Drosophila melanogaster: one gene and its partners. The protein of the gene in region 2 purifies or fractionates together with the protein of the main gene of each other region. This does not show direct contact. Each region holds a gene or a part of one and is shown on either strand. Other genes may lie near its edges.

What was found. Proteins that work in one complex are often made in the same cells at the same time.
Region 1: the proteins of CG18746 (region 2) and Non3 purify together in Drosophila melanogaster (affinity purification with mass spectrometry, with the first as the bait; one large-scale study listed by BioGRID). This does not show direct contact.
Region 3: the proteins of CG18746 (region 2) and CG6066 purify together in Drosophila melanogaster (affinity purification with mass spectrometry, with the first as the bait; one large-scale study listed by BioGRID). This does not show direct contact.

The regions. Positions count from the first base shown.
Region 1 is NT_033777.3:18,221,817-18,225,442, reverse strand, and holds Non3 (putative nucleolar protein 3), read right to left. Parts: upstream 1,722-3,626; 5' UTR 1,625-1,721; coding exon 1,605-1,624; intron 1,545-1,604; coding exon 1,329-1,544; intron 1,261-1,328; coding exon 534-1,260; 3' UTR 501-533; downstream 1-500. Other genes in the region: CG7168 (uncharacterized protein), read left to right, coding at 1-467; mTerf5 (mitochondrial transcription termination factor 5), read left to right, coding at 2,013-2,202, 2,255-3,233, 3,285-3,509, 3,569-3,626. UniProt on the Drosophila melanogaster protein: Required for normal assembly of the mitotic spindle. May be involved in both centrosome-dependent and centrosome-independent spindle assembly programs.
Region 2 is NT_033777.3:7,787,734-7,791,788, forward strand, and holds CG18746 (uncharacterized protein), read right to left. Parts: upstream 2,455-4,055; 5' UTR 2,375-2,454; coding exon 2,263-2,374; intron 2,148-2,262; coding exon 1,998-2,147; intron 1,935-1,997; coding exon 1,726-1,934; intron 1,576-1,725; coding exon 981-1,575; intron 890-980; coding exon 639-889; 3' UTR 549-638; downstream 1-548. Other genes in the region: CG18748 (uncharacterized protein), read right to left, coding at 1-110; CG10086 (uncharacterized protein), read left to right, coding at 2,994-3,108, 3,938-4,055.
Region 3 is NT_033777.3:27,114,652-27,118,303, forward strand, and holds CG6066 (uncharacterized protein), read right to left. Parts: upstream 2,057-3,652; 5' UTR 1,972-2,056; coding exon 580-1,971; 3' UTR 501-579; downstream 1-500. Other genes in the region: CG5880 (uncharacterized protein), read left to right, coding at 2,232-2,275, 2,354-2,501, 2,562-2,871, 2,932-3,143, 3,208-3,639. UniProt on the Drosophila melanogaster protein: Tumor suppressor involved in maintaining genome integrity. Influences gene expression and mRNA splicing.

The DNA.
Region 1 (3,626 bases), about 10 Mb from region 2:
GGAGCAGTTCCGTCGACATGGAGGCCATACTGCGCCAGACATTCCCCGAACTCGGCGACGATGTGATAGAAGTTCTCGAGCAGTTCGTCACCAGCAAACGAAACTTTGTGGAGGGCTCAATCAAGTCGGCCAACATACGTGCCTATCGGCTGGTCAACCTGGACTGGCGACTGGAGGTGCGCACCGCGTCGCGGAGCCTGCTGGATCAGTGTCAGGTGGTGGTGACTATGAAGCTATATCTGCACACCGAACCGAAGAATGAAAACCGAGAGCTGCTGGCGGTGGACATCTCCGGGCGCAGCGAACAGGAGCTGAAGGCCATGCAGGAGGACGAGCGGCTGCATCGAAAGGATTTGCTAGTGCAGACGGATGTCTGCAGTCTGGTGCACATGATCAAAACGCTGGAGGACGCGTTGGCCGAGTCCAAGACGCGGCGCATTCGCAATATTGTCGACGGAATACACTGATACGACTCCAGAACTCATACACTTGTTAAAGCTAATTTAATCAGGACCAATTTATTACAACTAAAATTAACTAGAGAAGGGATTGTTTCCTTGTGAGGCCAGTGCTTCGGCGGCGGCCGCCTTCAGAGCAACCTTCTTGCGCTGTCGGTTCTCCTTCTTCTCCTCCGGCGTCTTACGCAGCGCCTTGACGCGACGCGTTTGAATGGAGCCCGTTTGCTGCTTGCCCAGATGGACACGTCCCTTGGTGTTGCCCAGGGCGTCTGTGCTAATGTTCTTCTTCTTGCCCACCTTCAACTGCTTGGGCTGTTTGCGTGCCTGTTTGTACAGATCCTCGCTGGCGATCTTGGTGCGGCGAATGGAGAAGTCGGCCGAGGGTCCGATCTCTTCAAGCTCTATGCGCGGCGTCCTCTGGCCAGATTTCTTCAGCAGTATCCGGTAGGAACGCATCAGTATGTTCATGTCATCGGTAACCGTGAAACTCAGAACGTGTTCGATGCCCTGCAGCCGGATCGAATCCACCTTCTCGCGCTGGAAGGTGTCGATGAACAGGTTGCGAAGGCGCCTCAGTTCCTCGGTCTGTGCCCATTTCGGACCATTGAACACCAGGCAGGGCTTGACGCAGGCTCCGATTTTCTCGTTCTTAAACTCGGAAATCGCCTGATACCGCTTGATGCCCAGTTCAAACATGTCCAGCACCTCGTTCTCGAAGATCCTGCCCAGTATAATGTTATCGGGTCGCTTCTTGGACGTGGAACCGAACGTGAACAAAGCAGCATCGTTCTTCATGGTCAAGCTGGTGATTCGAATGATGTTTACAATTAAATACACTACATTTTAGTTGTTTGCTTTGTCCAAACTTACAACTCCAGAGATGAGGGATCGTCAAAGGGGGTAATGTCGTTTTTGCGGTTCAGCACTTTAACCAGCGGCTTCTTCAGCGCCTGCAGGTCCTTCATGCACAGCTTCACATTGCCGCCGCACTTCCTTCCGTCCAAAAACAGCATTGTGCGGGCGGATTCAATGAGTTGCGGCTCCCTGGCCAGCAACACCTTCTTTCCCTTGCGGGTTTTTGGTTTCCTGGAAGCGCAGTTGGTTTGATTTCATTTGCATTTCATGGGCTTCATCTCCAATGCTTACCTGATGCGTAAAAGCGACATATTTAAATGTTTTGAAATAAAAACCAAGTCAAATAAACTATAATTCACGCGCACGTGTAACAACGCTGCGGGGTTAGGGATGTGAAAACAACCGTCGTCGTATCGATGAAATTGATTTGCCGGCCGTATCGATAGTTGATTACCTACCACAAGATCAAGGGAGAATACATTTTCTGCACACTCAAAGCCTTTTTGCAACTCAAACATTGAACAAAATAATATTAGAAATATTAAATATATAATATAAATTATATTATATTATTATATTTTGATTTTTTCCCTTTGTATATATGTGCTCCCATCACTAGCTGCAACAGTTGTCATTCACCCCGATAACAGTTACGTTTCTTTGCCGTTTGTAAATAAATCTGCGGGAAATGTTATAATTATGCTGCGCAACGGCCAGAATCAAGCGCAATTGCTGGCCCGGAGCCTTGGACAGCTGGCGCGGGGAATGGCCAGTTCGAAACGGGTCAGCAGTAAGAAGGAGGATCTCAAGCCAAAACTGCCAAAGCCACCGACAGTCGAGATTCCGATGGAAGAGCCGCTGAATGCCAGCTATTTGTCCAAAACTCTGGGTAAGCTAAGGCTTTAAAGTTGATTTAGGGAGTCACTATTGCGTCTTTATAGGTAGTTCCTATCGTTCTTGGGCGGCAGCCTTAGAGAAGCACCCAGAGCTCAAGACGTTAAAGCGCAAGGACTTGCTAAGCTCCTACGACACTTTGAAATCACTGGACTATAGTGTGGACGACATCATAGCGAAACCCATGATCATCTATTATGGCGCCACCACTTTGGCCAATCGCCACAGTGTCTTGCAGGAGTGCGGCTTCCACAACGTGACTGTCCAAACGCTGGCCAAGTATGTGACGGTGGTCAACAAGCCGATAGAAGTCTTGAAGGCACATAATTACATCCCCTTCGATGTGAAGGTGGCGGAGCGTCTGGCGGGATATTTTAAGGATATCAAGCTGCCGGTGGATTTACGGGAGCTGGAGAGTGAGACCCTCACACTGAAGAGCTTGAGACAATCCCTGATCAACGCTTACCTGCGTGAACGTCTCCAGATGGACGACAACGATCTACAGAAGCTGTGGCGCGTTTACACGCGCATCCGCCACAAGAGTTTTCGAGCAGTGCAGGACACCATTGAACTGCTGACCAAAGAGTTTAATTTTTCCGCCGAGCGGCTAAGGAAGAACAGTTTTCTGCTCTATTCGGAAGCAGATAACGTGCGGCGCATCCTGCGAGAGGTGCCTACCATTGACTCGCAGGACATACGAGAAATCGGCTTTCGCAGACCCAAGATTTTGATGTCCACCTGCGATAGCTTGAAGCAAACACTGCAGCACGTCCACGCTTTCGGCATCAGTGAGGATGCCGTTCTCCGCTGCCTGGAAGTGCTCACCCTTGGACCGGATACGGTTCTGGAGCGACTAAGGGATCTGCAGGAGATCGAGGAGTTTCAAGTCTTGGGTACCAATCCGCGAATCCTGAGACTGGTCCACTACCAGAACAAGGCGCGACTGCGTCTGGATTATCTCAATCAACTGCGGGTTCGGTGCGCCTCCTTGCACATCCTTTCTTGTGGGTCCGAGGCGTTCGCTAAGTAAGAATCTTATCAGCTTATTGACTGACTAATCAAATAACCATGTTCCAGATTTGCCAGAGATGGCTCAGATCGTACTAAAGGCCGCGATATAGTCGTCTACTTGAGTAATGTTTTGGGGAAGGACGTGCAAGTGCTGCGCAATCTTCTCTCTCGCCATCCCAACTGGTGCCATATACCATTGCTGCACGTGAAGCAGTGTCTGGAGTACTTACGCAGCAAAAAGTTTAAACTTAATGAGATATTTGCGAACATACACTTGCTGCTTTATCCCATGTGAGTGGTACAATTAATTTACAAGCGATTTTGCCCTAATACTTTTTGTTTCTACACAGCAAACGTATTGAAGAAAAAATGCTCCTTTTGCAATCACCCGATGCGCAAGAAGATCTG
Region 2 (4,055 bases):
ATTTGAATCGCCTTATCAGTGCTCAGAGTCACTTGACCAGCAACCATTTGGCCCGCGTAAAAAACCCCTTGCGTGTTGTTGTGAAAAAGAATTTGGCAAATTATTCCCATGGTTTTTTATGGTTAAAGCACAAGTTTTAATGAATTTAAGTCTGTCGTTAATTGTTAAGATGTTTTCCCTTCAATTGCCGCAATCAAACTGAACTAAAAAGTTTCTTACCACTTATTTTGTGCAACGGAGAGCTTTTGGTAATTTATCTTATCAGTACACCCATAAATCTATTTATTGGTAAACCCAAAAACCCCCTACAATTTTTTTATACAATAAATAGATCATTCGTAACCAGCTAACATGAGAACTGAATTATCAGGTCCAAAAACAGCTGATACTTATATTTGTGGTGTAAAAACAAGTGCCCCCAAATGAGTTGAGGCTCTCGCATCTGAAGATAGCAATTTCACTCAAATAAATATATTAACTCATCGATAAGATATCGCACAACTCAGCAAATATTGCTCACTGAGGTCGACGAAAAGTTCCCGCAGTTTGCGTTCAACCACAGGGTAATTGTCATGTCTGTTGTATTTCGATTACTTATTAATTATTTACAGAGTGGGTACATTCATTTTTAAGCCCTTCTAAAGCCAAGTGCTTTTTTCTACACCTTCATTGACATAGCCGCCATCAGTCTTGGGTTCATTTGCTCTCAAAGTCATTTCGTCCACTTGGTTTGACAAATCAAAGACTGCGTATAAGGGTGAAAACACAATTGTTTCAGCTTTCCTCTCTTGTGATCCTTTTACACCTCTTTTCTGAGACTTTTTCTTCGATTTCGAGAACTTGTGCGGATCCGGGGAGATGTGTTTAGCCTCAGCATAACTCGGCGGTGCTAAAATAAATAAGTGATTCCTTGAATTATGATCTTTAAATTCGAATATGGAGTTTTGTATGAATTTCCTTAAAGCTCCTATTTTACTCACCAATTGAAGGATCCGCAGCCCAAGGATTGGGGCTTCCGAGTGCTTCTCCATTCTGTTCGCTGCCAATTAAAATCAAAGCCTTCGCATCTAGCTGCTGGGGTGGCAGAACTTCACCCCAAGTCCTTGGTTCTTTTTGGAGTTGCTTCGTTAGCGGGACACTTCCAATAGTTATGGGCATGTGAAGGGACTGGCCGCCATGACAACCTTTAACTCTGGCCTCCGCTTCCACCTGATAGCCGATCTGAATGATGCTGCATAGATTAAAGCAGGTTGGCGGAGTTGGCGGCACCTTAAGATCGAAGGTAAACTGCTGCCGGCATTTGGTCGACACACCTCCGCCTGTTTTCAGGACCATCTCAAAACGGTCCTTGTTGGTGTCCGCGGACGGGGGTTGACTGTAGTAAATCACCACCATAGTCAGTTTTACGGTTATGTCCTCCACGGCTACACCACTGTCATTGGAGACCATCACCTCCACCGGCACGATCTGTCCTGGCACAAAGCCACTCTGTGGAACAGAAAGTCGCATACTGAGTGGCGACGAGCGGCAGGGAAAACAGCAGAAAGTTCGCTGGGACTCCACTTGACTAGGTACCTAAAATTTATAAAATATAAAAATATAAAATTTTATACTTGACCATGGTACAACCAAAGACACTAGAATTAGACATTATTCTAATGTCTTTGGTACAACACATGGTACAGTGGACTATTCCATAGTGTGTGGAGAGACTAAGAAACATACCCTCAGCATTAGGCTTTCGGAGTTCAGGTCCATCACTTTGATCACAGTGAAGCATCGATTAAAGTTCAGATCGAACTTCCACGGACGCACGAACCTCACGTTCACCAGATAACGTATCCGACCTAGTGTCCCCTCGAAAGAAGAGGGACATGTGATGGGCAACTGACAGGCGAATCTATACGAGCTGGTGCCAGGCTCAATAAGCACCTCTGAAATGGAGCTTTGATTTCATTATCTCTAGATTTATGGTGATTTATCATCTTCGAACATACCTATGCTGGAACTAGACCCGTGCAGATAAGCCCTAGTGGCCAAGTAGTCCACATGTCCGTTGAATGATTCACCATTCGACTGATCATCCGGATCGTGTTCGGTATCCGCCCAGTGGGTTTCGGCATATCCCTTGATGTTAAGGATTACAGCTGAAGTAAAAATAAAAGCTATTTTAAGCCCCTGCAACACTTGCACTTCAAATCAATTAAGTCTTTTAGCAAGTAACGTTTGTTTTGAGTAGAGCAAAATGAATCAGCGCCTTACCTTTCACTGACTTTTCCTTCTCAGTTTTAATGACCACCTGTCCTGAAATCAACTGGCCTGCATAAAAAATTCCTTGGGAATTATTGCAGAACTCAATCTCACAGATTACCATTGTGCGGAATAATTTGTATGATAATCCGGGAGCTGTTTAACTTTTGCCCTGTCTGTGTCGTGGCTCCCAACAAACTGAAGTCACCCGCTGCGGCTATTTTTATTTTATTTTTTGTGCAGCATTTATTTGGCCAACATTTTTATTTTATCTTATCAATGCGATAGGTATCTCAGTATTTAAACACAAATTTTTACCATTGCTATCGGAGTATTTACATATGTAAGTGACAGCAATTTGAGAAGTACGAAATTGGCAGGCAGAACTGATCGATGAGGGCCAGTTTTCCCAAGGTTGAGATAGCGATGATAGGGCGTTGTACCAATAAAGAAATAGAGGATAATGGAGTCCCTGATTTATCGCATAAGTTGTTAATAAATTAATGAAGGAATTTCTCTCAACTGGCCGCGTTGCCAACTATCCAGATAGACAAATATTGCAGTGGGTTTTGTACTGAGTTGAGCCGATAAGATAATGCCAGCCGACGGTAAAACTGAAAATGAGAGTCCAGGCCATGTTAGCAATACAGTTGGCCCAGTTCGTGTTTAGCAGCGGGCGCGTTAGGATCGCTCGCAAATCTAAAAGCTCTGGAGAGGCATAAGCCCATTACCTATTCGCCAACATGTCGAAGAACTGCATGATAACGTTCGACCAGAATGAGCACGGCACCTACTTCACCGGCCAGGTGATAACCGGCAAGGTGATTGTCAATCTGAACAAGACCAAGAAACTGCGAGGTAAGTAAGACCAACTAGGATACCCCAACAGTACGGAAACTAGTGGGGGCTTTCGCTTATCGAGCGCGGCGTATCTTATCGCTTCGGATAATGTCAGGTTTGGCAAAAGCAAAAGATTCAACAAACCATTGAAATGGGTAATTAAGTGATAACTATGCGGACACTCCAAATGTGCGATAATTGATGATTCCTGGAGCCGAAGGGGAGCGATAACAACCTTACTTATAGTTGGGGATCTACCCAACGAATTATATTTTCTTTCGAGGAAATACCAGGGAACTTACTCACGGTTTTCGTCTGGGCTTTGCAGTGATATGGACAACAAGTTTTGTTGATTCTTCGAAATATATGTTTTCTACTTCTATTTAAAAAAAAAAAGGTTAATTTTTGTCTTTAAGTTATTTCATTTCCATTTTGCATCTGCGTGCTTGCAGCCCAAATCAAATATTTAAACAATTTGAATAATTTTATAGTGTGCGTCAACAGTTTCCGTATTAGTTAAATTTAAAATGCCCCTAAGACGCTTTTATTAACTGTTTTTGGAAATGTCTTTCAGTGCTTCTCGCTTTTGTTTTATCTTATCCTAATATTACCCCTACCTTATGAGGTAACCCAAAGAGATAAACAAAGTGAGCTAGTTTTATTAGGAAGCCCGTTGTATTTTTTTTTAACTTTTTTATTAAGGTACTGATTTCTTTGTCTATATTATAGCCTATATTATAGTATTATTATGGAAATATTATAAATGTTAGTCAGCACATCTCATATTTCTCTGTTAAGAAGTCATGTTATTGAAGATCTACATATTCTAATATTTCTTGTCTTTTAGGAATAAAACTGCAAATAAGTGGCTATGCGCAAGCCCAGTGGCGCATCCGCAGACATGGTAAGGCGGTGGCAATCCAAAACCCCAAGAAGCGATCAAAGCACCAGTACAGCGGGCGGGA
Region 3 (3,652 bases), about 19 Mb from region 2:
GTGGGCTAATCCGTCGCCATGTAAAGTGTACACCTGATTTATCTCTTGGGCTTAGCAACGAAAATTTAAGCCCACTCATTAGTTTTTGTTGTATTACGATGCAATAAGATGAAATGCAGAGTAGATTGACGGAAAGGAGAACAGGAAAACCAGAGAAGTGCACAGGAAGAAGCGAATTCTGATGAAGATTGGTTTGCTGAAAATAGCTTATTTTTATATCATATTTTAGTCGAATATCCATGGTTAATGCCACAATGATTATAGCGGGCTCATATTTGGTATATGTACAAGTACATATGTAAACAATATATAATTTTGTGTGCGGACGACTACATCGTGTAGCTGCCATAGGAACATTTGGAAAATTATTATAAATAATGGAAAATGAAAACTTTCTTGCGTTTATTAAAGTTATTAAGTTACTCTAAGAAGCTCTTTAACTTACAATTGTCGTTTATTTTTTTTATACAAATACAAAAATTAAAACAATCATGAAGTTTCGACATTCGTTGAATTGAAATCCTGATGTGCGTTTGCCATTTATGGTAAATCCATTTTGAAGACAATATCCTTTAGGATTTACTTCTTGTCCTTGGCCTGCAGCTTTGAGTGGATCATGTCCTTAAACTGCGACAGAATCTTGTTTTCGCGCTTCTGTCGCTCCTCCTTGCTGAACATGGCCAGTGCTCGCTTCTCGTCGGCGGAGTACAGCTGGTTCTCCTTGCGGATACGGACGGCCTCCATGCGACGATGCCTGCTGCCGCTCATCACATAGCCCACGGACTCGAAATTGGCGATTTCATCGGATGTTAGGCCGATTTCACCACGGCGAGGAATTCTCTTGCCCTCGGCAATGTAGGCAGCCATGGCGGCACCTTCTCCTGGCAGCAAGGCCTTGCCGAAGTCCTTTTGATTAAGACTACCGCCGGGTCGCAGCGAAGGTCCAACGTCCTCGTCGTTGTGCGAGGCACTTTCCTTGTTCTTCGACTTGCTGGCACTGGAGGAGGAGCTCTTCTTGGACTTTTCCGCCTCTGACTTACGCTTCTTCTTCTTCTTTTTAGACTTTTTGTCCTTTTTGCTAGTGGAGGACTTCTTCTTTTTAGGCTTCTTGATACCGTCGGCTGTCTTTTCCAGCCAAACATCTTCCTCCTCGGACTCATCTTCGCTGTCAGAACTGGAACTGGAACTTGAGCTGCTGGACTCGTCGCTACTGTCTTCGCTGCTTGAAGAACTGGAGGAGGAACTCGACTCTTGTTTGCTCTTTTTCTTTTTGGATTTCTTTGACTTTTTCTTCGACTTCTTTTCAGATTTCTTGTGCTTTCTCTTGCCCTTTTTCTTTTTCTTCTTGGGTCCTATGTAAGAACCCTTCACCAGCTCCACATCGTCGGTTTCTGGCCGGGAAGGGCTCTTGCCCCAGACCTCTGGCACGCCTTCCTCGCCGATGAGAACTCTCTGGTTTCTGCGGGCATTCACAGCCTTGGAGTCACCTTTGAATTGGTGGTTAGACGATCCTCTACCTCTGTGCTGCGACCTGAACGATGGTTCGGCGGGATCATTAATGAAACTACCCTCGGGAGCCCTTCCCCGGAAGGGATTCTGCCGCCTATCGTTGTTTTCATGATAACGATCGTTGGGCCAGCGTTCCACGGATTTTGGGCGGGATTTGCGGCTTCTGGACGGGCTTCTCGAGGAACTGGATCTATCACTGCTGCTGCTGCTGGAGCTTCTGGAGGGCGAGGAGCGCGTTCTACGGCGGCGAGGCACTGCATCCTTTTCTCTGGAGCGACGTGAGCTGCGATTGGAAGTCCTTTCCCTGTGGAGCTCCCTATCCCTTTCTCTTTTCCTCTCCCGCGAAACCGATCTCCTATGCTGCGGTTTCTGGTAAGTCCTTCTTTCCGAGCGGGATCGAGCCCTAGAATCGGACCGGCGACGTTCCCTTTGCCTGCTGCGACTCCTGCTGCGTGAACGCATGTGGAAAATACAAGTTTTTAACAATTTCACCGGAAAATGCAAAACAAACGTTTGTCGCTATTGGTGAGCAGACTCGATAGCCTACCCAATCGATAGTAGCCGCTCATCGATAGGCAACAGCTGATTGAGTGATTTTAGCTGCAGAAGGTCACATCAAAACGAACTTTGCAAATTCGCTCGCCAAAATAAAGTTTATTATCGCCAAAAATGCTGTAATTTAAATATAACATAAAATATAGGAAAGCTACCACTTGCTAAAAATGACACGCATTACTTGGAGAGGTCACTCCACTCAGGAGTTGCTGTAAGCTTTGAAATATCCCGCTGCACAAATGTATCACTAATTTGCAATGTTTTCGTTTATTGTTTACTTATTTAACAGATCGATTTTGCGGCTTCGTTGGTCATATATGAAGCACTGCTGGCACTCCTTAACTTTCAACGCCCACATGAACTCCTCCTACGCCTCGGACGTCTGCCTGACCCCTATTTTTTGGTTTGTGGACAACTATACTCACTGCCTAGGACCGGTAACACTATGCAACATAACATTTGTTGTTCGTATGATTAAGCGTTTTAAACTTGTTTAGTTTTTTGTGGTTGGCGTGGCTGCCTTGACGACTTCAGTCGTTAGTATTGCCTATTGGATTGGCTTGCCCTTTTGGTGGGCCAAAAGTCAGTTGGTGACCTACTTCCTCCTCATTGTGGGCAACTGGCTGCTGCTCAATGTGGTTTTCCACTACGTTATGGCTGTGATCACGCCGGCTGGTCATCCGCCAGAGGGCGTGTCCCTGGTAGAAGCGGTTAGCATGTGCGGCAAGTGCATAGCTCCCAAACCACCGAGGACTCATCACTGCTCCATCTGCAATCGCTGCATACTTAAGATGGATCACCATTGTCGTGAGTACCTTAAGATTTCTAAAGGGTTCCTACATTAATTTTCATATATCCCATATATAGCTTGGCTCAACAATTGCGTGGGTTATGGTAATCATCGGTACTTCTTCCTCTACATGACGTACACCACTCTGGGTTGTCTGTTTCTTATTTTGTTTGGCTTGGAGATTGGCCACAAATACCTGTGGCTGGATCATGGTGAAAACTGGACGGAAATTGAGCCCTTGGAGGGGCAGCCAGTCAAGTTTAACCTCAGTGGACACATCATTCCAGTGGTAAGCCAGTAAACTAACTTGTGCTACTTTCTTTATTTCATCTTTCTTTCTCTCTGAACTTCAGACACATCCGAATGAGTATGATGAATTTGTGCTGCCTCCAGCCGTGCACAATCTTCCAACACCCATTGTGGACACAGATGCCGCTTCGCCCGGTCGACGACGAGCGCTTTGGTTCATGGCGTTCACAAACGTTGCCGTGGTCTTGGCTCTCGGTAGCCTCTCCATCTGGCACGCCAAGCTAATCACTCGTGGCGAGACCAGTGTGGAGGCTCACATCAACGAAGCTGAGCGAAAACGGCACCTCCAGCAACAACGCATTTATATTAATCCTTATAACTTTGGCACCAAAAAGAACTGGAAGCTGTTCTTGGGTCTGGTGCGGGGCAGATCCTTTTGGCGAACTGTGCTGCTTCCCTCCTGGCACAAACCCGAAGGTACTGGGCTGAGTTTCCACACGGTAAATGATGCTCCCTTCGAGGACGAGTGGCCATAATTCCAACATAGAA